Linked DNA regions of Anolis sagrei. The protein of the gene in region 2 interacts with the protein of the main gene of each other region in a biochemical or structural test. Links are inferred from orthologs where the notes say so. Each region holds a gene or a part of one and is shown on either strand. Other genes may lie near its edges.

Region 1 (16,033 bases), about 52 Mb from region 2:
CTCTCCAGATGAACAAAGAGATCGTGTGGGTTCGTACACAGAGATGCCTAGCTTCCCTTTAAAGGTACTTCCACAACCTGAGAGGAGCCTTCTTGTCTCCTATGTAGTAAAGATGGCGTGTTTCCAGTTCCATGTATGTGAGTAACATGATTAGAAAATTGTGTGAATGAGTACACTGCCATGCTATGTTATCATAATTAACAGTTTACATATATAGAAGACTATGCTAATTTCTTACAAAAGAAAACAACCTGATGCCCAAGATTCTATATTTTCTTTACATGCAATTTCAAGGAAGTAGTTTCATTACTAGGACAGTTTCTATTCTGAGTAATGGACTGTACATAGGTGAGCAAACTGAAACCTAACCATGTTAAGGCAAAAGTGTTCCTGGTTTGTCAAAAAGCAAACCAGGGAATAAGGATTCAATCTGTGCTAAATGGGATTGCATTCCCACTGAAATTACAGGTTTGTTGCTTGATTGTAATTTTGATTTTAACCCTAAACCTGAATGTTCAAGTTTTCATAATAGCCATGAATGCATCTGCACTGTTGGGGCTAATGTATCACTTGTTGTTCCTGGATGTTAGATATGGGTACAGCACACTCACCACTTGAATATCTTCCACTTGGGCCACTACAGTATAGCACTCTACATGGGGCTGCAACATTTGCTTAATCTGTATATTGTCTTATTTTTAATTCTACCTTAGAATCATAGAATCATTGAGTTGGAAGAGACCTCGAGAGCCACCCTGTCCGACCCCCTGCCAAGAAGCAGGAAAATCGCTTTCAAAGCACTTTGCTTTAATTTGTTCCACTCATGAACCCTAGTTAGAAGAAAGGCTGGGTATCAATTAAATAAATAAATTGACTTTAAAAATGATCTGCAAAATAATGGCATAGGCTCCAATACACAGTAACTACCACATGTCCTCAGAACAGTTTATGATTGAAGAGTATTTCATATTTATAGAAATGCAAATATTTTTTAAATGAACTGTAATTACAAAAAATGGATGCTTGGAATCAATGGCTTAAATAGGACACTGCCTAAGAAGTTCATAATCCTAATGTGCAAGGTAATTGAATATAATGTGAACAGAATATTACCTTACACACACGCATGTCTGTATGTATGTATCCTCAGGTTCACAATTTATGCATGTTGTACCACCAACCATAAAACAAGTTTCATAGTTTATGTAAGATAACTATTTAAAAATCACATGCTATGAAAAACAGATTTTATCACAGTTTGTGGAATACTTCTTTTTTTAAAAAAAAGGTCATCTAGTCTCACCCAAGTTACGATGTCATACATTAAACATTACATTTAACTTTACTGTGTCATCATGACTGAACTGACAAGCCATCTTTTGCACTATACCAGAATTAGAAATCAAGTTCTGTACTACAGTTTGGCATGGTGTTCAAATAAGCTAATCTTAGTTGCAGATAGTGTAACCCAATGCACCTGAAAGATCAATCCACTGTGAGTACAAATCAAAATTTGGTCCATGTCTGAAATGAACCATTCTGATACATGTTCGAACCTATAAATCAATCTACCATCATTCTAAATTTTCATTATACTGCATTTTTAAGATCTCAGTTCTGTAAGAACCTCCATACACACTTAGCTTTCAAAACTCAATTAACTTTTAATTAAGCAGGATCGTTTAACACTCCAGTTTTGCTGCAGGGAAAGGAACATTCAGGAGAATCTCAGGGACATGAACCAGGCACTGCAGCTCCATGTCTAACTGGAGACCTGCATTTCCCCTTTTCACTTTTAAATGTTCAGCTCTTAGTATAAGCACATTGTTGCATGAAGAGTACCTCATAAGTCATCTATAACAGGAACTGAAGTAATCAGAAAATAAATCTTTACAGGTAAACACAACATTTGTGGGCTATGAGAATGAGAAGGAAATACATAGTAGTTTCCAATCAACTTATTCATTTAAACAACCATATCTTTACATTAAAGCCAATCCGCATCAACAGAAGAGACAGAGAAAGGTGTAGGGTAGAATGGCATCAGAACAATTCAAGTCAGAGGAGTACAATACATCATTGGAAATTGAAACTATACATAAGAACCCGATGAATACAAATCAATATTCTAAAACAGGTATAGGACTCAGGTAAGTAAGCAAGTATCTAGGCAGCATGTGCCCATTAACACTTACAGCAATGCCCTAAACAGTGGTTCTCAACTTGTGAGTCCCCTGCTGTTTTGGCCTACATCTCCCAGAAATCCCAGCCAGTTTACCAGCTGTTACTATTTCTGGGAGTTGAAGGCCATAACATCTGGGGACCCACAAATTGAGAACTACTGCCAAAAAACCTCTTCATTGGGTTCAATGTTAAGTGTTAATAACTGCTTCAGCTTCCTCTATTCCAAAATCCAGCCCAAAACAAGCAAAACAAAAAGGTTACTGGATGTTACTGGAAAATCATTTCCAGTTTCAGAAAACTGTGGTATGCAACTCCCATGAAGGACTGAGGGCACTTAAAATGGGTCCCCCTATTCTCTATGTGTCTCCTCTACATGCTAAACATAAAATAAGCAGCTTCAGTACTGAGAATGTAATTCCAGGATAATAGCATTGAGACCTCCCATCTTTCAATTTTCATAGGAATTCACAAATTTAGTTTGTTATTTGAAAGAACTATTAAAGTTGTCTGTGCAATTTTATCTAATATTTTAAAAATCCTGCCTTCAATTGTCAAGAAGCAATTCAGGAATTTTTTGCAGAATCAGGAATTAAATCCCTTATTCACTTATGATTATCCCTACCTCTTTGACCCACAGATCATTTTAACATTATAATTCACACTGAGTTCTCAGAGATGTAAAGAAGCCTCATATAGATGTGCATAGTCAAAACTTCATTAAAAAAGGTTTTCGAAGGAGAAAACGTGACTTATTAAGTATTGTGTGATACTGAATCACCATAAGTTCACCAAAACAACACAGCTTCCAGAAATGTATAACAGTAGAAAATCAAAAGAATTTATATATTAAGATTTTCATTATAGCTTTAATTTTAAATAGTCAGAGACTAGCTGTACTTTAATCCTGTGATGTTTTTTCCTACTCTTTTTCTCACCTACACATGCTTTTTCCAGATTGAAAAATAAGCTGAAGCGGTTCCTATTGATCTACACACATTTGCATGTTTTCGAACTGCTAGGTTGGCAGAAGCTGGGGCTAGCAGCGGGAGCTCACCCTGCTCCCTGGATTCGAACCACTGACCTTTCAGTCAGTAAGTTCAGCAGCTCAGCAATTTAACTCACTGTGCCACCAATTATATGGGCTGTAAAAGCAGACCTGTTATGTTATTATTTCATTGCTAGATGCTGCAAATACAATCTACATATCAAAATGCTGCTGAGTTATTTTCAAAGTCATCTGCATATGCACTGAGCAAAGGTCTTCACAAAAAGAAATTTCCTTACGCCCAGTTTCTTAAGGCACCAAAAAGAAAGATACAAAACGCTCATTTCAGGAAGTCCCCAATGGCTTAGTTCACTGTCTGCTGGAAAGCTCCATTCTATAAGCAGATATTAAATATTGAGCATTGCTATTTTTCCTTGCAGCTGTCAATTGTAAAATTTAAAAAAAGGATTTGGTTCAGGTTTGACACTGAAAACTGCCTTATAAGGTATAGAAGCCTGAAAGGAGGAAGAGCCTTTGACAAAACTAAGGAAGTTGGTTTGCGCTTGCTCACTAGAGCGGGTGGACTTTTTTTTTCACCCACACACAGAGAAGTAATGCTGAAGAAATGACACATATGGAAAAAACATGACATTGCTTAATAAAGCTACCGCTCCACTAGATCTATCTGCAGATTACAGACAAGAGGGTGAAATCCTTTCAAAATTATTTGTTAGCCGGCTTTGATTTGGAAAGCATAAAATATTTAAACTGTCTGAGCTTGACTCTGTGGCTAAGCTGCATGAAAGTGCACGTTTTCATTATGAAAGAAATGGGGAAGCTCTGCTTCTTCAAAGAACTAAAGGGTGAAATTTCTAGGCCACTGAAACGAGTAGAAAAATTATGGTATGCAATGATAATATTAGGGTGCAAACACCCAGTTTCCAGAGGACATCCTCCTAATGGAAAACGTCCAGTCAGCCTTTAAATGAACAATGAACAGAAACAGTAGCGATGGCATCTTCCGTGACTTTATAATGGGGAGACAATGCAAGCCCACTTCCAGAAAGGAAAGAAATAAAGAAGTGCATGAGAGAGGCCACCGCCTCTGAGGAATGAGCAAAAGGCCAATCCCACATATTTAAACCTGGAAGGAGCCCTGCTGTTTTAGGGCGTGACTCCCTTCTCCTCCCACAAAGCCACCTTCCTGAAGGTGGATGCCTTCAAGACAAGAACAGGCTGAGCAAACCGTCAAAACGACAGCCATGGAGGAGACAGGTCCCCTTTCTCCAAAAGCAAAATCCATATATATCCAACTGCCTGCTTACTTTACACACCTCTGAAAATGAAATACAGGGTTCCCTTTCCCCCCTCAGATGGTTCAAAGCTTTTTCTCACCTCACTGACACCCCTCTTCATGTATGTATGTATGTATGTATGTATATGTATGCGTATATAAAACACACTCACCTCACAACTTGTAGGGTTAGCAATGAAGGGGGGGGGGAGGGATGTCAATGAGGTGAGGAGAAGCTTTGAATAATCTGAGAGAGAAAATAAACCCTGTACTTTTTTCAGGGGTGGGTAAAACAGGCAGGCTGTTGGACCCACACACAACTTGGAGGGTTTGCAACAGAACAGAGGGAGCAGTGGGGGGGAAAGAGAGCCAAAGGGGGGGGGGATTGGCTATGCCTCGGGGAAAGGAGGAAGGAATAGCCACCTTTTATTTCATTTTCAAATGGGGGTAAAGCAAACAGTTGCCCCATCACACACACCCACACAAATATATCCAACCTAATAATATTACAGTAGAGTGGTATAGCACAATGTAGTTATATATAATACTAATATTGTGCTATGCTAATAATACAATATATTGTGTATATATGTAACTTGTAAGCCGCTCTGAGTCCCCTTCAGGGTGAGAAGAAGGGCGACATATAAATGTTGTATTATGTGTGTGTGTGCACACACATACACACAACTTGATGGGTGTGCAATGGAGAAGGGACGAGAAAGTGGAATGTCAATGAACTGAGGTTTAGATGTACTTAAAAAGGGACCTTTTCTTTGATTTGGGAAGGGGTGGGTTGAAGCAGGCAGTTCCACCCCCTCACCCCCCGCCCCACACACACACACACACACATACTCACACACATGCATACACCATACAATACACACACACATCTATATACATCACACACATATTATGTATTATATTATATACACAGAGAGAGACCTTTTATTTGATTTGGGAAAGGGGTGGGTTGAAGCAAGCAGTTCCCCCCCCCCCACATACACACACATGCATACACCATACAATGCACACACACATCTATATACATCACACACACGCATACATTATATATTATTTTATATTCACAGAGAGAGTGGGGCCGCCCCCAAAGGGAACCGCAATGGCAGCCTTCCCTTTCCCGTCTCGGCGACCTGTCAGCAGCCAGTCAGCCAGCCAGCCAGCTCCCAGGCAGGGGCTGGCCTCCTCCGGCCCATTCATCCCTCTCTGCCCGCCTGGCTCCCTCCCCCTGGCCCTGGGCTCACCCGGTGCCACAGTCCACCACGCAGGCCGGGAGCCGCCCTGCCATCCTCCTTCCCGGGTCGAGCGGCGGCGGCGGCGACGGTGGCGCGGAGGGAAAAGAAGGTGCGGCCGAGGCGCCCGCGGGACTGGCTCGCCTCCTTCTTGCCTTCCTTCCTGCCTTCCTTCCTTGCACTCAGAGGACCGGAGGAGGAGAGGGAGGAGGGGGGCGGGGGGAGCGAAGCCACCCACTTCCGCAAAGGAGCCAGTCAGTCACTCCCAGCCTCGGCCTCGCTCCCCCCTCGCTCACACTCACACACGAGCGCGAGCCCAAAATGGCCGCCTCTTCCGTCCCTCCCGGCCGAGAGAGTCGGAGGAGGGGGGAGGAGCCGCGGAGAAAGGGGGGGGGAAGGAGGAGGAGGGGGCGGGCGGGCGCGTCAAACCGAAGCATGCAGTGACGCGCTCGCGATTCGGGAAGCGTGCGGCTGAGGAGAAGTGGCGCGGGCGGGCCCTCGGCCAGGCTTCTCTTCTTTCGCTCTCCCCGCCCCTCCTCCTCCTGCCCACTACTTCCGCTTCTCGCCTGCCTGGGTTTCATAGCCCAGCTTGAAGCAGAAAGGTGAACTCGCCCAACAGAAATCACTTTGGGCCTTTCAACTCAGCCCTATAGCCCAGAATATCAAGGCAGGGAATCCCACAATATCTGCTTTGAACTGGGTTCTATGAATCCACTTTCAGATAATGTGGGATTTTCTGCCTTGATATTCTGGGATATAGGGCTGTGTGGAAAGGACCTAAATTCCCATTCCCCCTTCTGAGGGCCCTTCCACACAGCCCTGTATCCCAGAATATCAAGGCAGAAAATCCCATATTATCTGAATATGAACTCAGAAACCAATTCAAATCAAGGCAGAAGATTCCACATTATCTGAGTGTGGACTCAGACAACCCAATTCAATTCAGATATTCTGGGATTCTCGATATTCTGGGGTATAGGGCTGTGTGGAAGGGCCCTCAGAAACCAGGAATGAATGCAGTTTAACACCACTTTAACTGCCATGGCTCAGTGTTAGGTCATCCTGTTGCTAGGATTTGCAGTTTTACAAGATATTCAGCCTTCTCTGCCAAAGAGTGTGGGTGCCATTACCTATGGTATTTGCCACAGTGTGCGTCTACACTGCAGAATGAATGCTGGGTTGCTGTGAGTTTTCCAGGCTGTATGGCCATGTTCGGGAAGCATTCCTGACATTTCGTCCACGTCTATGGCAGGTATGTGGGCAATATCAACAGAAGGTAGGAAACCATGAAAATCAAGAAAATCTGGCTAAAAACCCTCTAAAATCAGGGTAAGATTCAAAAAGCGGTAATTCCAGACCGGAAACAATCAGGGCCAGCTAGCACCTCCCAACAAAGGATTCCCCCTGGGCAGGAAGCAGCCAGGCTTTGAAGCTGCAAAGCCATTCAGTTTCAATCAAGATGGCCAGTTGCAACATTCACATCTACCTCCAACAGACAAGAGTTCTTTCTCCCACCCTGGACATTCCATAGATATATAAACCCCACACCTAATTTCCCACAGACCTCACAACCAATTAGGATGCCTGTAATAGATGAGGGTGAAACATCAGGAGAGGGTGCTTCTGGAACACGGCCATACAATCCCGGAAAACTCACAGCAACCTAATGATGCCAGCCATGAAAACCTTAAGCAGCACATAGAATGAATGCTGTTTGGCACCACTCTTAACTTCTATGGCTAAATGTTGTGGGATTCTGGGATTGTAGTTTGGTGAGGCACCTTTGGCAGAGGAGGCTCAAGGCCTTGTAAAGCTACCACTCCCGGGATTCCATAGCATTAGAGCCAATGCAGCTCAAACCGCATTATTTCTACAGTGTAGGTGCACCCTAGGGATTGGAAGGGCAGCTGTGAAGGAACTAAACAAGATCCTTAAGTATTAAGGTGCACCATTGGATACCAGAGGCATGATTGTCCGTGCCATGATAGTTCCAATTTCTTATATAGAAATGGTTGTAAAAACGGAACAGGAAAGAAAGGGTACTTATATTGTTGCTTATGATGCCTGCTTTTATTGTTTATGATGATGATGTTTTATGCTGTTTTATATATGGGCGTTCTGTTTTTAACTGTATGTTGTCTGGGCATGGCCCCATGTAAGCCGCCCCGAGTCCCTTCGGGGAGATGGAGGTGGGGTAGAAAAATAAAGTTATTATTATTATTATTATTATTATTATAAATCAGATGAGAACCAACTCTTTTGAAATGTGACATTGGAGAATTGTACTGTAGACTGCTTTAAAAAATACCAGTATAAATGGTTCTTAGAGCACATCAAGCTTGAGCTCTCCCTAGAGGACAAGATGACTACACTGAGACAGTCATACTTCAGCCATATCATAGAAAGACATGACTCACTAAAAAACAATGGGAAGATGGAAGGCAACAAGAAGAAAGGAAGACCACATTCCACATGGATGGACTCAATCAAGGAATCAATTGCCCCCCGAGTCTTGAAGGCCTGGCTTATTGATGACTTAGAACAGTGTTTCTCAATCTGAGGGTCTGGAGAGGGTTAGTGAGAGGAATGTCAGAGGGGTCGCCAAAGACCACCAGAAAACAGTATTTTCTGTTTGTCATGGGGGTTCTGTGGGAAGTTTGGCCCAATTCTATTGTTGGTGGGGTTCAGAATGCTCTTTGATTGTAGATGAACTATAAATCCCAATAACTATGACTCCAAAATGTCAAGGTCTATTTTCCCCAAACTCCACCAGTGTTCACATTTGAGCATATTGAGTATTGGTGCCAAGTTTGGTCCAGATCCATCATTGTTTGAGTCCACAGTGCTCTCTGGATGTAGGTGAACTACAACTCCAAAACTCAAGGTCAAAGCCGACAAATCCTTCCAGTATTTTCTTTTGGTTATGGGAGTTCTGTGTGCCAAGTTTGGTGCAGTTCCATTGTTGATGGAGTTCAGAAGCTCTTTGGTTGCAGGTCAACTATAAATCCCAGCAACTACAACTCCCAAATGACAAAACCAAACCCCCCCAACCCCACCAGTATTAAGTATTTGTACCAAATTTGGTCCAGTGAATGAAAATACATCCTGCATATAAGATATTTACATTACTATTCATAACAGTAGCAAAATTACAGTTGTGAAGTAGCAACAAAAATAATTTTATGGTTCAGCGTGACCACAACATGAGGAACTGTGTTAAGAGGTTGTGGAACTAGGAAGGTTGAGAACCACTGACTTCGTACCTCATCCCACAAAGGGGGAAAAGCAGGAGGAATCGTCTTCCTTCCTTTGAAATAAAACAAGAGAATTTGCTTACTCCCATCACTCCTTCCTTTTCTGTTTAACCCTGTGCTTCATTTCTCATCACATGGGCGAGTGTTGTCTCCTCCCATTCTGTCATCCGTACAGTGTAGACTCAAACAGTGATGGATTTGGACCAAACTTGGTACCAATTCTCCATACTCAAAAGTGCAATTACAGAATTTCAAAGGTCCATGCTTCAATTGCACAGTCACAGTATCAACAACAAAATATTTTTAAAAGGAGAATAGAAGTCCAAAGACTAATGGCAGCAGAAGGAGCAACAAGGAGCATGAAAAGACCCCTCACATGAGCACCCACCCTGAAATATCAGAATATGGACTGAAAATTGATAAATGGACAATTTCCCATAGAAAAATACCCATTTCTAAACAGACGGAGACGAGTGGTGTCGACTATCTTGTCTTTAAAATCCACCCGTTTCTACGGAGATGAAGACCCATGGAAGTGTCCTGTGTCATTTAATGGGATCCGTGGAATCCCATCTTTGAAGTGTGTAGAAATAGAGGACAACTTCTAATAAGGTCCTTAGAGGCCTGTCATCTATAAGGTTGCCATAACAAAGTTGACTTAATGGCAATCAACACTAAGAAACAGCTAAAGTCACCAGATCCCCCTTGGTCTTGGAGGCTAAGCAGGATTAGTCTTGGATCATACTTAGATGGGAGACCAGGTACTGTAGGCTATGTTTCTGAGGAGGTACTTTGTCTGAGTTTCTTGCCTAGGAAAATCCTGTGAAATTCATAGGTTTTGTTTTGACCCCTGGTGGTTCCAGCATGTTATCTAAGTATTGGGGAAATGCCCTTTGTAGACTAGTGATTATTTGGGAATCTGGAACCACATGTGGCCTGCAAACCACATGTAGCTTACCTATTTTTAAGCTATAAGAGTTGAAATCCACAAACATGGATTGCTGCTTATTCTCACTCGAGATAAAGAATTTACATCCAATAATATTTTGTAGTTTCAATTTAACATAGGCTTGCTGCTAAAATCTGACAACAAAGGAAATGTTCAAACTGCTTCCTATGCTTATATGCCTCTTCACAAAATGCAATATAGGTATATTTTCCTAATCTCTGGCCTCTAAATAATTGAAAATGGTTGAGCCATAAAGGAAATCTTTTGGATGTTTTCCATAAACTGCATTAGTGTAAGTGCTCCTTGAAGCCCAGATGAGGGGAGATGTTCATCTGATATTAGTGAGAATGGGTGCTGTTATTGACAGAAAATAATCTACAGTGTATGAAATTATATTTCTCCGTTCTTCACTTCATCTTTAATTGTGGGTCCTGATAATTATGGGAGATGAACATGTTTGTAAAAATACACAGATCATATATTTTCACGGTCTTCTCAGCTAACAGTATAGTGAAATGTATATGTCTGAATTGGAAGCACGATATTCACTTATTGGAAAGGCGCTTCTGCCCTAAATTGCATGTCTGAGATAAAGGTAGGATATAAATCTAACCATTGCATATAATGGAACATGAGCATCCACAAAATTTGGTATCCACAGGAGACCATAGAATAGGGGTGTCAAACTCAATTTTTATTGAGGGCCACATCAACCTTATTGTTGCCTTCAAAGGTATCTGGTGAGTGGAAAAAAAATAAGCAATATGTTACAAAATGTTGGGATCTCAACAGACCAGAGACTATCTATAATATCTGTTGCTAGGTCCTAACACAACCAAATTTTCTACTGGCTCCCACCACCATTTACTAACACAATGTTAACATGACAAATTACAATAAACCAAAATAACCAGGTCCTCATACGAGGAAACACTTCCCAGAAGCAGGGCAAGGGGATAATTTTTGGAACATGGATAAGTGAAGCCATGAACATTAAATACACTGATAACAGGGTTATATTGTAATGGCTTGGTTTCCATAAAACATCTGGAAAGCATGGCTGCATTTATCATTACTATACTTTTGCCCACTGGGCCTTGGAGCCCTTTCCACCAGTATGCTTCACTATTATGGGCATGGTAATGCCTTGGAAAAAGTTGTATTACTGCTGCGTGTTCAATGTCTTTAGGACTAATGGTGTGAGGCTGCACAATCCATTTAATTATTCATTTGGCTTCTATGGGAAACTTCCCACTGGTGTGGAAATCACATATTGGCAAGCTGTTTAACCTCAGCAGGCTGAAAGCCAAAAGTAAGATAACAACAACTTCTGTTATAGAACTCCAATATGCTGATGATAATGTGCTCATTCAAAGGAAGATTTAGAAGCCACTTTAAACATATTTTCAGAATCTATGAAAAGCTTGGCCTTTCAGTTAACATAGGAAAAATCAAAGAACTCTACCAGCAGGCACAAACTAACACAGCTTAATGGTGTAATGTTAGAAAATGTTGACCATTTCTGCTTCCATTTGCAGCCACCTCTCCACAAAAGTCATCAAAATACAACATTGTCTAATCTCTGTGAGTGCTGTGTTTTTTCGAATGAAGCAGAGAATGTTTGCGTATCGGGACATTTGTGGAGATACCAAGATGCTTGTTTATGAAGCTATTCTCCATCCAACTCTGTTGTGTGGCTACAAAACACAGAGCATTTACAAATGTCACTCTTGACTTCTGGAAAGAGTCCATCAGTGTTGCCTCAGAAAAACAAAAACCACATTGAGTCGCCTGTTTGGGCTGAAAAATGCGGTATAGAAATAAAGCAAATAAATAAATAAATAAATAAATAAAAATCCTGCAAATCTCTTGGGAAGACAGGCGGACAAACATTAGTGTGCTGGGAGAAGCAAAGACCACCAGTATTGAAGCAGTGATTCTCACCATCCATTTTGTTGGACTGGCCACCGCTGAATGCCCGGTCTCCTCCTCCCAAAGCAGTTACTTTACTTTCAGCTAAAGAACAGAAAATGGAATGTCAGAGGACAACAAAAGAGATTTAAAGATGGGCTAAAAACCTACAAAAATGTGGCATGAACACAAAAACTGGAAAGCCCTGGCAACTCAAGGTCAGCTGTTACCAAAGGTGTTATAGATTTTGAAGAGGCATGGATAAAGGGTGAAAAGAAGAAATGTGCCAAGAGGAAGGCATGGCAACCAAACCCTTGTGACCACCTTCTATCTGGAAATGTATGTCTAGTGGATCCAGAATAGGCCTTCACAGTCATTTATGAATCCATCGCTAAGACCCTGCTTCTGGAAGATAATCATACTTGGCCATGAATGATGGCCCATGATGACAAGGATTCTGCTTTTTGCCTAAACGAGACTCAAAATGGCTTACAATATAAATTGAAACAGTTTTCCATATGTCACCTGCACTTCCACTGTACCCACTGACTATTTATTCAATGACAATTAAAAGGAGTCACGTATTCATATCTCCCTGTGCATAAATAAACACATGTGTATGAACATAAGAGATTCTTAGAATAGCTAGAATCATGGATGGTGGGTACACCAGTGTTGCCCCATGGAGGTGTTGAGACCTTCTCCCATTTTCTTTTATGTAGCAAGTGAATCTCCTTCCTGTTGATTTATGTGCAGCAATGGATGTGATACTTGAGCAACGTCTGCAGAGATACTTGGGCAATCTGCTAGTGTTGATATGTTGTTTCCTGTTCTCAATAGAAGAAACAGCAAAATACAAAGATGCTTTCAACTAACAGGTATTTACTTAAACATTACTGGACTGCAGAGCCACATCAGATTTTAAGGAACAGAACTTCAATGTACAAGTCACCCTTGTCTGGTACTACAAGCTGCTGCTCCTCTAACCATTTTGGTCCCACCTGCCAAAAATGAAAGCTTTTTTTTCAAAATTGAGTTAGCACATCCTGAAGCATGAAAACAACTGAAACTTGCCTCTTAAAGTGAGAGTCCCACTTCTTTTTTCACTGAGATTGTAAACCTATTTCTGGACTGCACTGTCTTAAGATGACATACTCTCCACTCAGTATATATGCACTCAGGGTGCATTTGGTGTTGTTCATTCGTTCATTCGTTTCCAACTCTTTGTGACCTACTGGACCAGCCCACGCGAGAGCTCCCTGTCGGCAGTCACTACCTCCAGCTGCCATCCATCCATCTTGCCCTTGGTCGGCCCCTCTTCCTTTTTTCTTCCATTTTCCCCAGCATAATTGTCTTCTTTAAGCTTTCCTGTCTTCTCATGATGTGGCCAAAGTACTTCATCTTTGCCTCTACTGTCCTACCCTCCAATAAGCAGTCGGGCTTTATTTCCTGAAGTATGGACTGGTTGGATCTTCTTGTGGTCCAAGGCACTCTCAGAACTTTCCTTCAACACCACAGGACTCCATAGCACTGAGTCATGGCAGTTAAAGTGCAGTTCTACCTGGCTGTGGGACCAAGGCTTTGGGGCAGTAAAATGAGACAATAATAGAATGGTGTCCTGAGATGGTTTAAAACAGTCAATTTTAAAGTTGATATAAGTTATTTTAATGTTTGTGTATATTTATAGTTTATGTTCCGGCATTGAATGTTTGCCGTATATATGTTGTGCTCTGCCCTGAGTGCCCTGCGGGATGAGAAGGGCGGAATATAAATGTTTTAAATCAATCAATCAATCAATTTATTCTACAATGTAGCTGTAAACTCAGACAACCAAACTGATGCAGTCTCTCCTAGCTTGTCTGTTCTTCCTTACAAATAATGTTTTCCATCTTGATCTCTCTCTCTCTCTACAAGAAAGGAGATTCCATCTGAACATGAGGAAGAACTTCCTGACTGTGAGAGCCGTTCAGCAGTGGAACTCTCTGCCCCGGAGTGTGGTGGAGGCTCCTTCTTTGGAAGCTTTTAAACAGAGGCTGGATGGCCATCTGTCGGGGGTGATTTGAATGCAATATTCCTGCTTCTTGGCAGGGGGTTGGACTGGATGGCGCATGAGGTCTCTTCCAACTTTTTGATTCTATGATTCTATGATTCTCCCCCCCCCCCCCCACTCTCTTTTTGTTATTTGTATCCTGGTTTTTATCTATTAAATGTTGAAGGGTATGCAATATTTTGCGTCTATTTCCCCACCACACTCCTTCCAATAATTTTCCTTTCATTTTTCCATAGCTAGACATGTATAGGATTACAGCTACATTCCATTAATGGAAGTTCTGGTAATACATCTTTGATCATAGAATCAGCCTGGCAATATCATACATTTTTGTGCCCACTATATTTTTAACTTTCAATATTAATTCTGTCGAGGAAATTTTAAGATTTAATCTATGCCAGTAACTTTACTTTAAATAGATTTCTATTAGTACTCACACTTTAAAGGAAAGGATACTTGTTCATCAGATAATAACTGAAAATTATTATCTCAGTGGGAATTTCACTGAGATTAGTGAGTCAGAAGTGCACAAGTTCTTATGGAACTGGCTTCACGTTTGCTTGGATTCTGGCAATAATTTCCCAATGAGGTACTGTGTGTACCTACCTCACATTTATGAGACACATAGGATACAACCTGTGATATATGGAAATAACTTTGAGCAAAAGAAATCCCCCCCCCCCCGAGACACACACATGCATTTAGGAAGGAAAACAGAGTGTGTACCATAAATAGATGCAACATTTTGTGTAGTATCCTGTAAGTAATTATTAGAGATACCATAGAAGAAACAGCGACAGATTTTTTAGAAAAGGCATAGCCATATTATTCTGGAATATCAGTTTGCAAAGGGTTCTTGTAACACCTTAGAGATGAAATGCTTGTTTAATTAAGAACAGTGGTGCAAAATAGGTGTTGTCTAGTGCCCAGCCCTTGCTCTCCTGGTGCAATGAGACCTTGCTCACACTTTTACTGAACAGCTTTATTTGCCAAGGGAGCTACAACTAATATTTCCTTTGTACTACCAAAGAGGGAGAGAGAGGGAGAGAAGGAGGGAGGGAGGGAGAGAGAATAAACTAAACAGAAATGCCTTGCACTTAAAGTATGTGGGCAATAAAATCAATCTAATCTATATATATAAATTTGTTAGGGGCATCCAACGAGGAAACAAAACTCAAAAACCCCCCAACGAAACTTAACCAAAATTCCCATGCCCATAACACAACCCACAAGGTACAAACATATCTACTCAAAATGAAAAACAACACAACAACACACTCACAAAACGGCAAAACAACAAAACTCAAAAATCCCCCAACGAAACTTAACCAAAATCCCTGTGCCCATAACACAACCCACAAGGTACAAACATATCTACTCAAAATGAAAAACAACACAACAACACACTCACAAAACGGCAAAACAACAAAACTCAAAAATCCCCCAACGAAACTTAACTAAAATCCCCGTGCCCATAACACAACCCACAAGGTACAAACATATCTACACAAAATGAAAAACAACACAACAACACACTCACAAAACGGCAAAACAACAAAACTCAAAAATCCCCCAACGAAACTTAACTAAAATCCCCGTGCCCATAACACAACCCACAAGGTACAAACATATCTACTCAAAATGAAAAACAACACAGCAACACACTCACAAAACGGCAAAAGAACAAAACTCAAAAAAACCCCAACGAAACTTAACCAAAATTCCCATGCCCATAACACAACCCACAAGGTACAAACATATCTACTCAAAATGAAAAACAACACAACACACTCACAAAACGGCAAACAACTGAGCATGCGCATTGGCGCCCAGCCGCAAGTTCCATCGCGCGCGCACATGGCCTTCCGGCCAACGTTCCCTCTGCGGAAACCATGCCCACTCCAAGCCCCGCCGCACCGCTTCCCGCACACACACACACCCTGCCGCACACACACACACAACCCCACGCTCCATCACTCCCCCCGCCGCCGCACACACACACGCAACCCCACGCTCCATCACTCCCCCCACCGCCGCACACACACGCAACCCCACTCCCCCCGCCGCCGCACACACACACGCAACCCCACTCCCCCCGCCGCCGCACACACACACGCAACCCCAGGCTCCATCACTCCCCCCGCCGCCGCACACAC
Region 2 (16,268 bases):
AAAGAAGAAACACAGAGTTATACTCGCATAGTGTGGATGGACTTCTGAAAGACCACACATTCTCCACATCAGACAAATGAGAGGATCAGAGATCATGTGATCACCTATGCTGCACTTCAGCATCTCTTGCCTTCTAAACCTTTGCACCAACTTCAACACTTTACCAGATTTTCCATTCCAGTTAAAATATTCCTAGTTTTCCAATGGACAGTGTTAGCAGCCCAGTAGTTTTAATCATTTCCTATGTAGTTTACTTTTCTGGCTCATTTTTTTCAAACTAGGCTGGAGAGAAATGTTATCCATTTTGATTCATGTGACTCATTGACTCACACAGAAAATTCGGGAGAGGGGAGGAAAAGCCACAGAGTCAGGGAGTGGGAACTCTGACAACCCAAGGCTCTGGATATTTCATCCTACTTATGCAGCAGCAAACCAAACCAAAAATTGTGGTTTTTTTCTAATTTAAAAATGCATCTAGCCTACAACAAAGAAAGAAAAGTGTTGTGCAGAATCTATACTGCACAACACTTTAGATTATTTCACAGAAACTCTTTCACAGACAGTTTCGTTTAGATGCATAATGGATGCTAAGGGTGGGGTAGCCAACATCTGCCCTGGGCCTGCATGCAACCACTGTTCTTGCAGCTCTCGGCCTCTCCAGATTCCCTGGGCCAACCTTTTTCTGTCTCTGTTCCCCGAGGGTGAACTGTCTCTCTTCAAAGTCTCCAGGAGTGGTGATTCATCTTTTTTAAAAAACTGCAAGTCTTAAAATTGTGCTTTCAAGTCACCTCTGGACTTATGGCAACCCCATGAATTTCGTAACATTTCTTAGGCAAGGAGTGCACAGAGGTGGTTTTGCCAGTTCCTCCCTCTGAAATATAGCCTGCAATGCTTGGTAATCCTTGATGGCCCCTCACCCAAGCACTAATTAGTCCTGTTTAGCTTTCAAGATCAGACAGGATCTACCTTTTTGAAAACACTGCACTGTTAAATATTAACGCCCCTTTCTTTTCAAAACCAGAAATGGATATCTAGTTCCTTCTTGTTTTGATCTGTTTTCTTTCTTTGATATTTTTTGGCAGTCTGTGCTGCCAGAGGATCCTACCTGAAAACTAACACCCAGGCTCACTACAATGGCTCACCCTTGTCTAATCAAAGTCCATACTGCAAGAGAGAAATCTGCTGCATTTGTCCAGAAATCCCCTTCCCCTATTAAGCAAGCAAAAAATTGGATCAAACTTTTGTTTAATCCATTTTATAACCTGTCTTTCACCACCCATGGGACTCATGGGAGGCTGCAACAGGGCTTGAATAAGATACAAACAAAAAAACTGGGTGGGGGGGGGGGACCACAATGAAACAAAATATCATGTTAAAACTTCATTAGAAGTGTAAAATTGTTTAAAAGAAGAAACATAAAGTTAATAATGCAGCACATGCCTATAAAGATTACCTGCAGCTACTTAATCATTAAATACCTGTGCGAATAAAAATGTATTTGCCTGCCAACAATAAGTGGCAAAGATGGAGCCAGTTTAGGCTCCCATGGTAGGGAATGCCACAGCTTCGGACTAGTCACTGAAATGACCTTCTCCTGTGTCCTCATCAAACAGGCCCATGACAGTGATGGGATAAAAAAGCCTTTCCTTAGGGATCTTAAGGGTCTGGTGGGTATAATACCCCCTCCACAAGTACTTTAACAACCTATTAGTAATCCCATATCTAGAAATAAACTGGCTTTTCTTCCAGTGGACTCAAGGTTGTGTGCATGATCCTTCTCCCTATGTTTATCTTACAAGCATTTTGCAAGTTAAATTAGGCTGAGAAAAACAGAAAGAAGGCTGGCTCAAATTTTCATCCAGTGTCCTCGACAACACAGTGGGAAAATGAATTATTCTACATCTAACCATTTTGCCATACCTGGCCTAAAGAAGATGTCTAACGATGGGGTGGGAATGATGTGGATATGCAGGTGTTGTCAGACTGAAAATTTCGCCAGCCCTAGCCATGCTGGGGTTTAACAATATCCGTAGGACCACATGAGTCTCACCACTACTTTAAGCCATGAATGCACTTTCTGATTCCAGAAACTGAAGGACAGAAGGTTCTCCTATCAACAGGAAAGCATCAAGAAGCCTAGTCAGCTACAATTAAATTGGTAAAGGGATAAATAGGGTGCTCATTTCAGTCAAACTACAATAACTGACTGTATAAACTTCCCTGGCAAATAACCTCAGTTCAGAGCTTTAGCACTGACAAATTATTAAACCATGTGCTCCTCCCCCTTTCCCCTTGCATGAATATTTTCCCCCAACACTTTTTTATAAAGAGAGCAAGTCTTTGGTCAACATTGTGCTAGCAGCAACATTTTTGTGAAGCATAGCTGGCCCAAAATGCATTTTGCAAATTTCCTTTTGATCATGCTTTTGAACTGCGGTTTGGAACCAAAACTCCTAGCAAAAAATGGAAATGCAGACTTAACACTAATCTCCAAAATTGAGGGGAAATTCACAGAGGAATGCCAGTACAACAGCACGGAGAATTACAAAACATCCCTGATCACTAAACCACAATTTGGTCAAGGGGAAGAATGCAGTATGCTTGCCTGAAACTGTCTGTTGATTTTATCTATTTATATAATTACAAAATATATAAGACCTTTGTTTGTCCAGGAACACTCAAGCAGAACCCCTGTAAGGAAGACTGGAAAACAAGGTGAATGGATGATGTTGCATCTAAACAATTATGAATGAATGTACAGAGTTAGGAGGAAGAAGGAAATCCTAAATAGTCATGGAGTAGGACAGAAAAGAAAGCATTGTCTCCATAGATGTCTGTGCTAAACAGCTAAATAATGAGAAAGGACACCAATGACCACACCTGAAATTATTTCCTTCAATAAACATCTTCATTTTGAACCATTTCATTTCTCATGTCGGGGTGCCAGAGTAGTTTTCCAAATGTGGCTACACTCTTGCAGCTGCCATATAAGAGAGTGTGGGATGCTACCCAACAACATCAGGAAGCCCATATTTTTCTCACCCCTACTTATACTTTATATTGTATTGCAAATTCTGAGTTGAATGTGTTTGCAAGACCTGAGCAAGTCTGGTTGTCTTGGAGTCCTGTAAATCACAAGGCTGCCTTAACTTAGTCAACTTGATAATAATAAACAACAATATTTTATATTTTATTTACACATTCAAATATGGAAGGTATTCCAGAGCCAGGCATATTTCTGCCTGAAGAAATCAAAACTCTGCCTCCAGCAACAACTCATGAGTGATATTATGTGCCACTTACTGAATCAGAGGAAACAAAATAGCTCAGCAGTATGATTCATTTCCAGACAAGAGCTTCTACTTCCAGTTCAAAAACCTAGCTCTCCTGACTCTTTTCCAAGAACAGGTTCTCACATTATGAGGGAGAGATGTGATACATGTAACCCTTGCACCAAACTTCATGGAAGCAACATGGCATTTCAGGGAGTTCTTCAAAGGTGAACACATCACATCACCAATATCCACATTCAGTAGCACTAAATTATGTTGCCTGTCCAAGATCATGGATGTTTCCACAACTGGACTTCACTGTACTATATGCTGTAATCTGGTGGCAAACATGTACACGGAAGTGCTGTCAAGAAGTGTCCATAAACGTTTTATTTATTTATTCTATTTCTACCCCACGGTATCTCACCCCAGAAGGGGGACTCAGAGCGGCAAGATGCACAGTAAAATGTCTTATCACACCTTTGTCCCACATTATACCTGATCACACCCAGAAACTATTTATATGTGTGCTAACAGTATCCCAAGGTGTATCTACACTGCACAATTAATGCAGTTTGGCATCATTTTAACTGGAATGCCTCGATGTTATGGAATAATAGTTTTTTTTTTTCATGTCAGGAGTGACTTGAGAAACTGCAAGTCACTTCTGGTGTGAGAGAATTGGCCATCTGCAAGGACGCTGCCCAGGGGATGCCCGGATGTTTTGATGTTTTACATCCTTGTGGGAGGCTTCTCTCATGTCCCTGCATGGGGATATGGAGCTGACAGAGGGAGCTCATCTGTGCTCTCCTCAGATTCAAACCTCCGACCTGTTGGTCTTCAGTTCTGCTGGCACAAGGGTTTAACCCATTGCGATGCCAGGAGCTCCATCATAGGATTTGTAGTTTGGTGAGGCACCAGCACTCTTTGGAAGAGAAAGCACTGTAAAACCATAACTCCAGCAATTTCATACCAATCAAACATGGCAGTTAAAGTGGTGTCCAATTGCATGAATTGTACAATGTACAACACAGCAGCAGCAGAGCAACAGTGGCACTTCTTTCTGTGCCTCCTCCTTCTCCTCTGGCCCCAGGTGCTTCCGAGCTTTCCTGTTTCTGCTTCTGGTGCTGTTGCAATGTAGATGTACTCCCAGTCAAAGTGGAAGTGCCCAACACCTACAGAGTAGGTCTTCAGAGATCAAGGTGCTATCCAGCTCTTTTTTTCTAGGTACAGGCAGTCCCCAAGTTACAAACATCCACCTTATAAACAGCTCATAGTTAAGAACGGGGGTGAGACAATAGGCAGAAAAAGAAATCTACCCCTAGGAAGGGAAATTCACTCCTGGAAGAATTATCATGGGGGAAAGGTGTGTCCACTGAAGTTTTATCACCAATCCTTTTTTCCACAAGCCAATTTTAAAAATCCAATGATCATAGGGACAGAATGTGAGGTGAAATCTTCTGAAAAGGGGCACAGACAGCACAACAAATACCACAAGGGTGTAAACCCTTCCCTATCCCATCCAAAGCAAAAAGATTTATATTTTTGGCTGGAGTTACACTTCAAAAATGGACCTATTTTGGCTTACAAACAAATTCAGCTTAAGAACAAATCTACAGAACTGTATCTTGTTCAGAACTTTGGGAATGCTGTAGCTAGGAAACCCCTTTTGGCTAAAACCAGGCCACTGTTCCTGAACACACACACAAAACGCCACTCTCCTGCACCTGGGTCATCCTAGATGCCCCCTTAACTTTTTGAAGTCCCTGTCAGAAATAAGCCCTGCTTCTTTGGCCTGGAATCTTCAGCTCTGTAAAGTTTCCCTTTTCTCCTAAACCAATGGTTTCCAACCTGTGGTCCATGGACCACCAGTGGTACGCAAGAACTAAAATATGGTCCACAGCCTCACCATTGCTACACTGTTGCAACAAGAGTGACAGGTCTCATATAACTCTCTTATAGTACTGAGGCTTATTAAATATGGTTTTCTGTGGGTGAGCAGATGATGAGTACTGGATGGTATATGTTCTGTATCAGAATCTAGAGCTGATGTGGTCTATCCAATGCAATTTTCTGAATCAGCACCTCAAATAACCAAACTGAATCTAAAGTTGACCAAAACCTGATTAATAACCCTTTTGGCACTAATGTTGGAGAGTGGTCCCTGGTCCAAAAAAAAAATGGAAACCACTGTTCTAAACTGTTCACTGGGATGCCAGGTGAAAGAAGGGAACACCTCCCATGATGCCATCTCCTTTCACAGGGGGTCAAGAGCCAAGCCACCACTTCCCTCCTGGATAAGAGTCCCAGGCTGCCTCCATAGAATGAATGCAGGTTGACACCATTTCAACTGCCATGGCTCCCTGCTATGCAATCATGAGAGTGGTAGGTCTTGAGCAGGCATGGGCAAACTTCGGCCCTCCGGGTGCTCTAGACTTTAACTCCCACAATTCCGAATTGTGGGAGCTGAAGTCCAAAACACCTGGAGGGCCAAAGTTTGCCCATGCCTAGTCTTGAGTGTCACCAACCAATCAAAGGGTGTTGATGCCTGACCAGACTTCACCTCCCATGATTCCATAGCATGGAGCCATGGCAGTTGAATTGGAGAGAAGCTGCATTCATTCTACACCAGTGGTTCTCAACCTGTGGGTCCCTAGATGTTTTGGCCTTCAATTCCCAGAAATCCTAACAGCTGGTAAACTAGCTGGGATTTCTGGGAGTTGTAGGCCAAAACACCTGAGGACCCACAGGTTGAGATCCCACTGTTCTACAGTATAGTTGCACTGCCAGATGAGGAGAGGAAGGCGAGGCGTGGAAAAGGAAGGCGTGGAGAGGAAAGGAGAGGAAAGGAGAAGAGGAGTGGAGAGGGGGGAAGTGGGAAGGAAGGGAAAGGGAGGGTTGGCGAGGCAGCGCTCCTCCGGCGGCTGGCTCCTTCCCAGAGGCACACACGCCCCTTGGAGCCTCCAGGAGAGAACAAAGAGCCTCCCAAAGCCGGCGAGCCCACTCCAGCCCCACGGCTGCCATGTGCCACGCATCAACGCCCACTCCCGACCTGGTGCCTGGCTCCAGGTGCGGCGCCCTGGACGCCTCTCCTCCTCCTCCTCCTCCACTGCCTTGACCCCACCTGCAGAGGCCAGCCGGAGACCCCTGAGGAGGGACCCCAAGCAAGGGGGAGACCCTCGCCCGCCTGTTTTGGGGGAAGCCCCCAGCAGCACCCCCTCGCCTCCTCTCCCTCGCGGGGCTCCTGCCACTCACTTTCTTGCCGGCGGCAGGGACAGCAGCGGCGGCGGCGGCGCCTCCTTCTCCGCCTCTTTCTCCTCCGGCGCCGGGCGCTTCCGAGCTTTCCTGCTCCTGCTGGGGCTGCTGCAATTTCCGCCTCTCCCAAGATCCCGTTTCCTGTTTTGCATCACGGCGCGTCATCAGGTGGGGTGGGAGAGGGCTCCCGCGCACAGGGCGGGCCGGCAGGCAGGCAGGCAGGCGCGCGCCCCGGGAAGAGGAGGAAAGGCCGGCAGGGAGGGAGGCAGGGAGGGAGAGGGGAGGCCTCGTGGCTCCTGGGCGGCCCAACAAGGCACCCCCCCCCCGGGGCACACCCGCGGACGCACGCCCCGAAAGACAAAGCCAGGCATGGAGGTTCCACTGCCTGACCTGCGGCCCAAGAGAAAGCAGCATCTTCCCTCCCGTGGAAACGCGCCACCTTTGCCCCCTCCAGAAGACTTGGAGGCCCCTTCCATACAGTTGTATAAAATCCCACATTATCTGCTTTGAACTGGATTGTATGGAAGTGTGGACTCAGGGCCCTTCCACACAGCCCTAGATCTCAGAATATCAAGGCAGGAAATCCCACATTATCAGAGTGTGGACTCAGATAACTCAGTTCAAAGCAGATACTGTGGGGTTTTCTGCCTTGATATTCCTGGATATAGGGCTGTGTGGAAGGGCCGTCAGAAAACCCAGATCAAAGCAGATATTGTGAGATTTTCTGCCTTGATCTTCTGGGTTGTATGGCTGTGTTGAAGGGCTCTGGAATACAGTGTTCCCTCACTTATCATGGGGTTCTGTTCCAGGACCACCCGAGATAAATGAAAATCCACGAAGTAGGGGCGTCATATTAATTTTAATATTTATACATGGGAAAAAGAAGTGAATAGATCTAAGTCTTGGAGCACCCTCGAGACTGAGATGAAGAAGTGGGTAACATAAGCTTTTGTCTACGAAAGCTTATGGTACCAACTTCCTTCTTTCAGTTAGACTCCAAGGTGCTCCAAAAGCCCTTTACATAATGATATTCCAGACTATGTCTTTGAATTTAGATTAACAATGTCAAGCAGCCAATTAGCATTTCCCTCAGTCAGCACCTTGCGGCTCTTTCTGGGAAGAATCTTATGTAATGTCTTCACAAATGCACACAGCATTAGGTTCAGTGTTCATTTAGCTTCCAAATTGTTGATTGGATTACATTCAAACTGCACAGATACAACAGCCTGATACTATTCTAGTGGCCATAACTCCATCCTATGTGGAATTTTGAAACTGATACTTGTGCGTGTATAATTATTCAATGCCTGCCCTTGAATGACAACATTAATACTCTCTGGTACAGAAATCGAAGTCCCTTTCTACACTGCAATATAATCCAGATTTTCAAAGCAGATAATCCACATTACCTGCTTTGAACTGGATTATATGAGTCTAACCTGCCATATAATCCAGTTCAAAGCAGATAAACTAGATTTTATATGGTAGTGTAGAAGGGGCTTAAGAAGCAGGGACTGTTTTCAGTACTTGAATGTTTTAACAAGGAAACTCTAATGATATATGTTTTTATTGATTATGCTATGGTTCTATATTATCTTAATGTTTTTAATTGTATTGTAATTGTATTTTATGGTCTTGGTACTGACTGTAAACTGCCCCAAGTCGCCTGCGGGTTGAGAGGGACGGTATATAAATGTAGTAAATAAATAAATAAATAAATAATAGTTGTTTCTGGATAAAGGAATTACAGTATATATTCAAGGACAGAGGTACACTTAGACTTACTTTGTTTGGGTAAATTAAAGATTGATATATGGATGACAATGAGACATGAATCATGAATAGTGTGAAGAGCGGGGTGAGCAAAGGGTGGTCCTCCAAAAGGACTGTAGTTCATAGCAGCTCTAACCAGCAGCTCTCTTCAGACACCTGTAGGAAGCAGGCCTGTAGCGAGGGGGGGGGGGTTAGGGGTTCAACCCCCCCCCGAAATGTTTCAGATTTTTTTAAAAAAAAACCCAATTTACTCATGAATTTTAACTGGTTAACCAAATCCCCATGCTAAGTCTATGAGATGCAAAAAATTGAGTCCCTCCAGAACTGCAAGCACTATCTCAAGCAAATATTTATTTATTTATTTATTATTCGAACTTGTATGCCGCCACTCCCCTGGGGCTCGGAGCGGCTTGCAAGAACAGGCTAAAATCGAACACAATTTAAAAACAATTTAAAACAATTTAAAAATAACAATATCAGAGATCAAAGTCCCGTTGAAACAGAAATGTCTTACATGCCCTGCGGAAAGCTGATAAGTCCCGCAAGGCACGGAGTTCAGGTGGCAGAGTATTCCAGAGTGATGGTGCCACTGCTGTAAAGGCTCTGCGTCTGGTTGCTGTTAGAAGCACGGTCTTGAAACTGGGAATTTCCAATAGATCTTGGTCCTTAGAACGGAGGGATCTCTGGGGTTGGTAGGAGTGAGGCGGTCCCTCAGGTACATCGGCCCCAGACCATGCAAGGCCTTAAATATTGACAATTTATTCTCTGGAATACTCTGCCACCTGAAGTCCGTGCCTTGCGGAACTTATCAGCTTTCCGCAGGGCATGTAAGACATATCTGTTTCAATGGGACTTTGATCTCTGATATTGCTGTTTTTAAATTGTTTTTAAATTGTGTTCGATTTTAGCTTGTTCTTGTAAGCCGCTCCAAGCCCCAGGAGAGTGGCGGCATATAAGTTCGAATAATAAATAAATAAATAAATAAATATTTGCTTGAGATAGTGCTTGCAGTTCTGGAGGGACTCTTAATTTTTTGCATCTCATAGACTTAGCATGGGGATTTGGTTAACCAGTTAAAATTCATGAGTAAACTGGGTTTTTTTTAAAAATCTGAAAAATTCGGGGGGGGGGGGGGTTGAACCCCTTAAATAAAACCCCTCGCTACAGGCCTGAAGTTGGGGTTGTGTGTGCTGAATGCTCTCATTAAGGAGGCCAGACTTGGTGGAGGTGGTTGATAGGGGCGGAGCTGCAGGCTATTGAAGGCTGCTCTGCCCCCTGCTGTGCTCTTTGCTTCAGCGTGAGCTAGGAGGCAGGTTTCAACCAACCCCCCCCCCCCCGTGAAATTTTCAAACCCACCCCCCCCCCTGAAAATTTCAACCCCTCCTGAAATTTTTTTCTGGCTATGGCCCTGGTAGGAAGTGTCATGATTTTTCCACAGTGATGCTCTCTGTCAGTTAAATGCTGTAGTAAAAATGAACTTCCTCTCAACTGAGTCAGACTTTTATGAAACTAGTAGAAGTCTGGTTTAAAATTAAGCAGAAACGCTTAATGTTAACACTTGGCCTTCAACATGTGGATAAACATTACTTCTTTCAACTCCTCTTTAATATTTGGAAGCCCATTTCAGATGACAAATACCACAGCCTCCCTTGTTTTCCTTCTGTCGAGATTTTACTTAATTGCCGAGCTTTGCAAGGAGTGCTCTGCTAGCACATTTCTGCCTTGTGTGTAGTCAAGATGTCCTCCATTGTATCTAATTAAGGAAGGTCATTGCACAGTAGAGATAAACACGCCTGCAGAGTAGCCCCAATAAATATCTGTTTGGGTAGTTGAGTCAGATCATAACAGAAGGCAGATTAAGGAGATGTTTCACCCAATATGCCTAGTGATTTATCCCATTCTTGTGACTGAAGCTGGGATATAATGCAAAATCCCCATGTTCTGTTTGGCTTGTTTCAAATTACTGTATCTTTCTGCTGCATGTCTGCTGGTGGGAAGACTGGTGTGCATTGCATTGTCAAATGTTGATTTGATATGAACATGTTATTTATTTATTTGCATTATTTATATTCCGTCCTTCTCACCCTACAGGGGACTTAGGGCGAATCACAATGCGCATGTACATGGCAAACATTCAATGCCATAGACACACAACGTATATAGACAGACACACAGAAGCTATTTAACTTTCCAGCTTCATGAGGGTATGCTTTTTGAATTCTGGCCACCAGGGGAACTGTTGCTTCACCATCCACTTGTGACACTGATGAAGTACTTCCTCATTCTTTTTCAGGCTGCTGGAGAGTTTAATGGCATCGTAAATTAGTTAAATTAGCCTCCGCGCATAAGCGGTACCTAAATTTCCTACTTGACAGATGCAACTGTCTTTCGGGCTACAAAGGTCAACAGCAAGCTAGACAAATGGTCAGGAGCTTACTCCGACCCGGGATGGCTTTGAATTCATGACCTTGGTCAGTAGTGATTTTAATGAAGCTGATTCTCAACCAGCTGTGCCATAACCCGGTTTTTAAAGAAACAGCATCTATAATATCAGCAGTTTTGTGTGGTTTTTTTCCCTTTCTATCATACCTTCTAATTTACATTGACTATGGTACTCATACGCTTATTCTAAATAAAGCAGTCACACTGTGATGAAAAAAACTGCATGAATATTAACATGATTTGTTCTGAAATTAAGTTCAACATTCTTTCTTAAGATATACATAGCTCCAGTTGGAGATACTTTAGTCACACTATGAATTCTGTTTCCATCTCCACAATCTGTTTGATCATGTTCCTTTTAAGTGTGGCTTTCTCTCTGTACACACACTGCTTTGTTTTGTGGCTTATTGGACCGCATTGTTGTATTTCCATATCCTTTCCTGCAGCTGACTAACTGGGTCCTTAAAGTGTGTGTCCCTCCTTCCCTCAGTTGTTCACTTGCTCATATGTCTGCCTCCGTTCTCAGCATTGGAACAAAAGGAGAAGTGGGGACAGTTGCAACCACAAAAATTCCAATGTAGTACACATTTCCTCATGCACCAGTCTTGGGATTCCCCTTTCCATCATGCAGGCTTAGTGGTTAATCAGGCAGGCTTCATTAAGATTTGAGAACAACTGAGCCACACTTCAGTCAGTATTGGCCGCCCCATCCAGACCTACTAGGTTCGAGTTACCTATAGGATCTCCTTCTGCTGCACAATCTACCTTTAGGACAGTTAGGACCTCTGGGGGACAGCTATTCCAACCAGCCAGACCTGAACTGGCAAACATAAGGCCCTAAGACTGTGGAATGACCTGCCAGAAGAGCTCCAACATCTAGACCGATTGGAATTTAAAAGGCAACTGAGACCCCTCTCTTCTGGCAGGCCTACCCAGTCAACTTGTCATGAGTTTGGATTTACATTCTATTGCTACTTTACTATGGCTACTATATTTACATTCTATTGCTACTATATGTCAATTCTCCTTGCATTCAGAAAACAAATAAAATCTTGGCTTTGGAACCAGGTGTTTGGAGACTAGCTACAATGCAATAGACAGCTGAGAATTAATGTGACTATAACTGGAATGGCTCATGGACTCGGAATATGGACTATTTGTTTTAATTGCTTTTTTATATCTTGTTCTAATTGTATTTATATGTTTAATGATTTTCTGTTTAATGTATTATAATTTATGTTTGTGTTTTAATGTGGTATTGAATTGTGCCTAGATGGGAAGCCTTGGGACAGGAGAGAAGTATGGTAAATAAATAAATAAATTCTGTATCTGTTTGGTGCAAGTTTTTTATATTTTTGTATTTTTATCCATGTAATTTATTATACATATTTTATGTTCTCATGTTTTTGAATTTGTTGTACCCTGCCTTGAACCTCCAGGAAAGGTGGGAAATAAATATATTATCATACAACAAGATTAGTACACAGCAAACAAGATCACTATGCTGACTTTTGTATTCAATCACACATCTGACTCTTCCCAAGTGTCTAGAACTGTGTGATCTATCGGCGAATAATGTGCACATATCTGGGTAGGGTGGCCTTTTGCAGCTGACAAATGGCAATTTTGTCAGTGCCAATTGTTTTTAAGTGCAGGCCAAGGTCTTTAGGCACTGCACTCAGTGTGCAGATCACCACTGGGACAACCTTTACTGGCTTGTGCCAGATTCTTTGCAGTTTTACTACTACTACTACTACTACTACTACTACATTAATCTATCTTAATTATCTTAAACTCAGAAAACCCAGTTCAAAGCTGATATTGTGGATTATCTGCCTTGATATTCTGGGTTATATGACTGTGTAGAAGGGCCCCTTATTAGCCAGAAATTGCCCTGTTGATGTCACTGTTCTACTCAGACTCCTGAGTTTAATCCCTAAATTGGGCCCCTTCCACACTGCCCCTATATCCCAGAATCTGATCCCGGGTTATCTGCTTCAAACTGGATTATATGAGTCTCCACTGCCAGAAAACCCAAGATAAGCAGATACTCGGATCAGATCCTGGATACAGGGGCAGTGTGAAAGGGCCTTGGATGCAGGTGAGTGAGGTGTCTGGATAGCTTCACCAGAGTACTTTAATCTGACATTACCTTTTCTATGTTTGCTACTAATTTTCCACCCTTTTGTATGCACTTCTAATAGATCAGACACAAAAAAATTATTTCAGGTGCAAAGTCAGAATACCCAGAAAATTTGTTGAAGAACAATAAAATACCACACATATTAAATGTAAACAAGATACATATAAGATATATTATAGATGAGATATAGGAGTGGTGAGGGTGGAGAAAACTTAAATGGGTACCTATTCTATTACAGTTTGGCAGCAGTGATGTGAAACAAAATGTCACAATATATCCTCCTTGGATCTTCACAGGAGAGTTCCTCTTTGGGATTTCAACCAGAAATTTTGGGGTTTGTACTCCCACCCCAGGTCTCAGGGTCCCTTCAAGCAGGCTGAAATCTCAGTAGCTCTCCTTTGGCTGCATAACTGGTTTTGTCTTCTTGTTTATAACTAGAAGCTTCCAGCATAACCTTCATTCTGGCAGATTTCAAGGTCATATACATATAATGTATAATGCAATAAAAATGAGATTGCTATCCAAGGGAATAATAAGTAGGCGGAATGATAATGGCGGGAGGCAGATCTGCATGGGAAGAGCCCAACAATAGTTGATCTCAGCTGTGAGAACAGAGAGGGTATTCCTACCCCTTCTTTTTCTGTATGCAAGCAACTGGCACCTGTTACATTTTTACATTATTAGGATTCAGCACCTAAAGGATGGTTGCTTTAAAGTTTGGGCTATAACCAAGACAGGCTGACATAAAAGACACCCGCAACCACTGGGTATAAGCACACTTTCCCAAAAGAGGATAAACCATTAAAATGTAATTTAATTCAAGAAGGACTGATCCCTTTCCCTAATAAGAGATACAGTCTTATTAGGGAAATAATGCAGGGTTAGTGTGCTGCTAACCCCACATTCACTGGGGTTAGCAGCACAGGACCGCTGTAAAAGTAAAAAAACACAAACAAACAAAACAATTCCTATTGTATTTATTGTCTATTGATAATATAAATTTCAATATATATATTTTAAAATACTATTTACCTGAGAGTACACCTTTTTAGGAAGCTCTAGATTTTCTAGTATGACTCTATTGTCAACTTCCACTCAAAGCAAAACATAGCATTGATTGCACTGGAGGACTTAAGAGTTTCTAAAGAAAATATTTTACATCAAACTTGTGAATAGTCTAATTCTCAAAAGTCAAAACTTCAAATGTAGAGGACTGACTATATTTTTAAATCTCTAAATGGCTTAGGACCTTGATACTTGAGAATTTGCCTCTGTCTCTATATGTTTACCTGAGAAGTGAGAACTACTGTATTTCACAATCCTCCTTTGTGTAGTGCCAATGGGGTAGAGGAAGAGAAAGGGAAGGGCCTTCTCTGCCATGGCACCCCAACTGTGGTATCGAAAGAACTACATTGGTATTGATACTGGTGACATTGAGGCATAAAGTCAAAACATGGCTTTTTAATGAAGGTTTTGATGCTGAATTAATTTAATCATGTTTGAACGTGTGTAGTGGATTATTTTAAATTGTTTTAAGTTTAGTTTGAAATGATACATTGCATATATTTGTTGCCTTTATGTAATGGTTATCCTTATTTATCTTCTGAAATTGATTTTATTGTTTTCTGCCCTGAATCCTTATTTATTTATTTATTTACTATGCTTCTATACCGCCATTCTCACCCTGAGTGCGACTCATGGCGGTTTACAAAACGGCACAATTCGATGCCCACAACAGTACAAAAATAATTTAAACATTAAAAACATTTGACACAGGTAAAAATTCATTACAATTAACATCAGTAACACAATAAAAACCATGAATCCTTGAATGTAGGCCAGGATAAATATTTGAAAAAACAAACATACATGTTTTTCTGATCTGGGGAGATAGAACAAGATTTTCCATGAAGTAGGATGGGTGTTAGAAATTTTAGCTGCTATGAGTTTTAAAGACCATTTGAAGTGTATTTATTGCATTCTAATTTGTTTTTAACAGTTACTATTTAATTGGGTTTTTTTATTTTTGTATTGCGCCTTTTATACTTGACTAAGTGTGGGATTGTTAGCCATCTTGAGTTCCCATGGGGAGAAAGGCACGGTAAAAATAAATATGATATTAATGAAATTAATAATAACAACAACAATATAGCTTTCAAGAGAAAACTGGCTTGGGAATATGTTCCTGTTGGTGTATCTCTGTCCCTTAGACTAGCCAGAAGTCTTCATAGCACTTGGGGCAGCCTAGTTTCACTAGGTCTTCGGCCTCTTCTTGCTGTCTATCTAAACACTGAGATCAGGACAGATTAAATTGTAACACTCTGCCAATTTCACACTCACCCCAGACCTTGATTTGATTAACATCAAGCATAATAAAATTTTATGGCTACCTCAGTATTTTATTAGATTTATTTAATCTCAAGAAAGGTCCTGGCTACTATGTATGGTCCTTTTTCCTTTTCCTTTTCTTATTCCTCTTTCTTAAACAAACAAACAAAAAAAACCCCAGAAGAATGTTTCTTCTTTCTGGGCTTTGAGACATAAATATAGAAACTGATGTTGTTCTAGATGCAAATACTTGCCTCAGATCTAAAAAAAAATGACTGTAGTTTTGATTCTATATTTGCATCATGAAATGTAATCTGTGATTTCAAAACCATAGATTGAGGAAGAGATCCTGAAAAAAGCTGCCTGCAATGAAAGCCAGCTACCAGCAAGAATTCAGAGCAATTCAGTACTGATTGCTGCTATTCAACATCAGACAAGTACATAGAGATACAGTTTCTATAGCTACAAGAAACATAATTTCTTTTCCACTATAATTTCCTTGGAGTAGCACAGATGAATGGATCATATTCATATTTCATGTGTCGGAAGACTAGTCCATTCACTTACCAGGCTGAGGGGTTGCTGGACCACAGAAAGTTCAGGATCCTGATGGTGTACACTGCCCATTAGCTGGCTGCTGACGTAGTTTTTGGAATATTATTAGGAAATTTGCAGTTATCATGTGTTTGTCTCTGTACATCCATCAGCCTCATTTGGTAGTGCAAACTCTTTAAGTCTTCATTATCAGCTATGCATAAGACAAGATTTGACATTATGGGCAGCTTCTTGAGCCTCCCCAAGGTTAGACTGACATGCCTCATGTCTCTCACCCATTAAGGGGATTCCTTTTTTCATAAGTAATTGTGTGTTAGCATTACATGATAATATCTACAAGAACCACTGTGAACTAACATTGAGTCTGCGTCTTAACCGATGTTTGTTGCAACCTGCCCTTTTAATATTCGACTCGATAGCTATCCCTCTTATTAAAAAGGCTAGTGCTACAAGAAAATTACTGGTAGTCTATGAAATGCAGCACACCACGAAAGCCCTTT

The links.
Region 1: the proteins of CTTN (region 2) and ACTR3 form a complex in vitro, tested with the Homo sapiens proteins (3 studies listed by BioGRID). The link is inferred for Anolis sagrei from reciprocal best matches to the Homo sapiens genes CTTN and ACTR3.

Annotation. Positions count from the first base shown.
Region 1 is NC_090021.1:215,781,446-215,797,478, reverse strand, and holds the start of ACTR3 (actin-related protein 3), read right to left. Parts: upstream 6,076-16,033; 5' UTR 5,770-6,075; coding exon 5,726-5,769; intron 1-5,725. UniProt on the Homo sapiens protein: ATP-binding component of the Arp2/3 complex, a multiprotein complex that mediates actin polymerization upon stimulation by nucleation-promoting factor (NPF).
Region 2 is NC_090021.1:267,290,823-267,307,090, reverse strand, and holds the start of CTTN (src substrate cortactin), read right to left. Parts: upstream 6,682-16,268; 5' UTR 6,528-6,681; intron 1-6,527.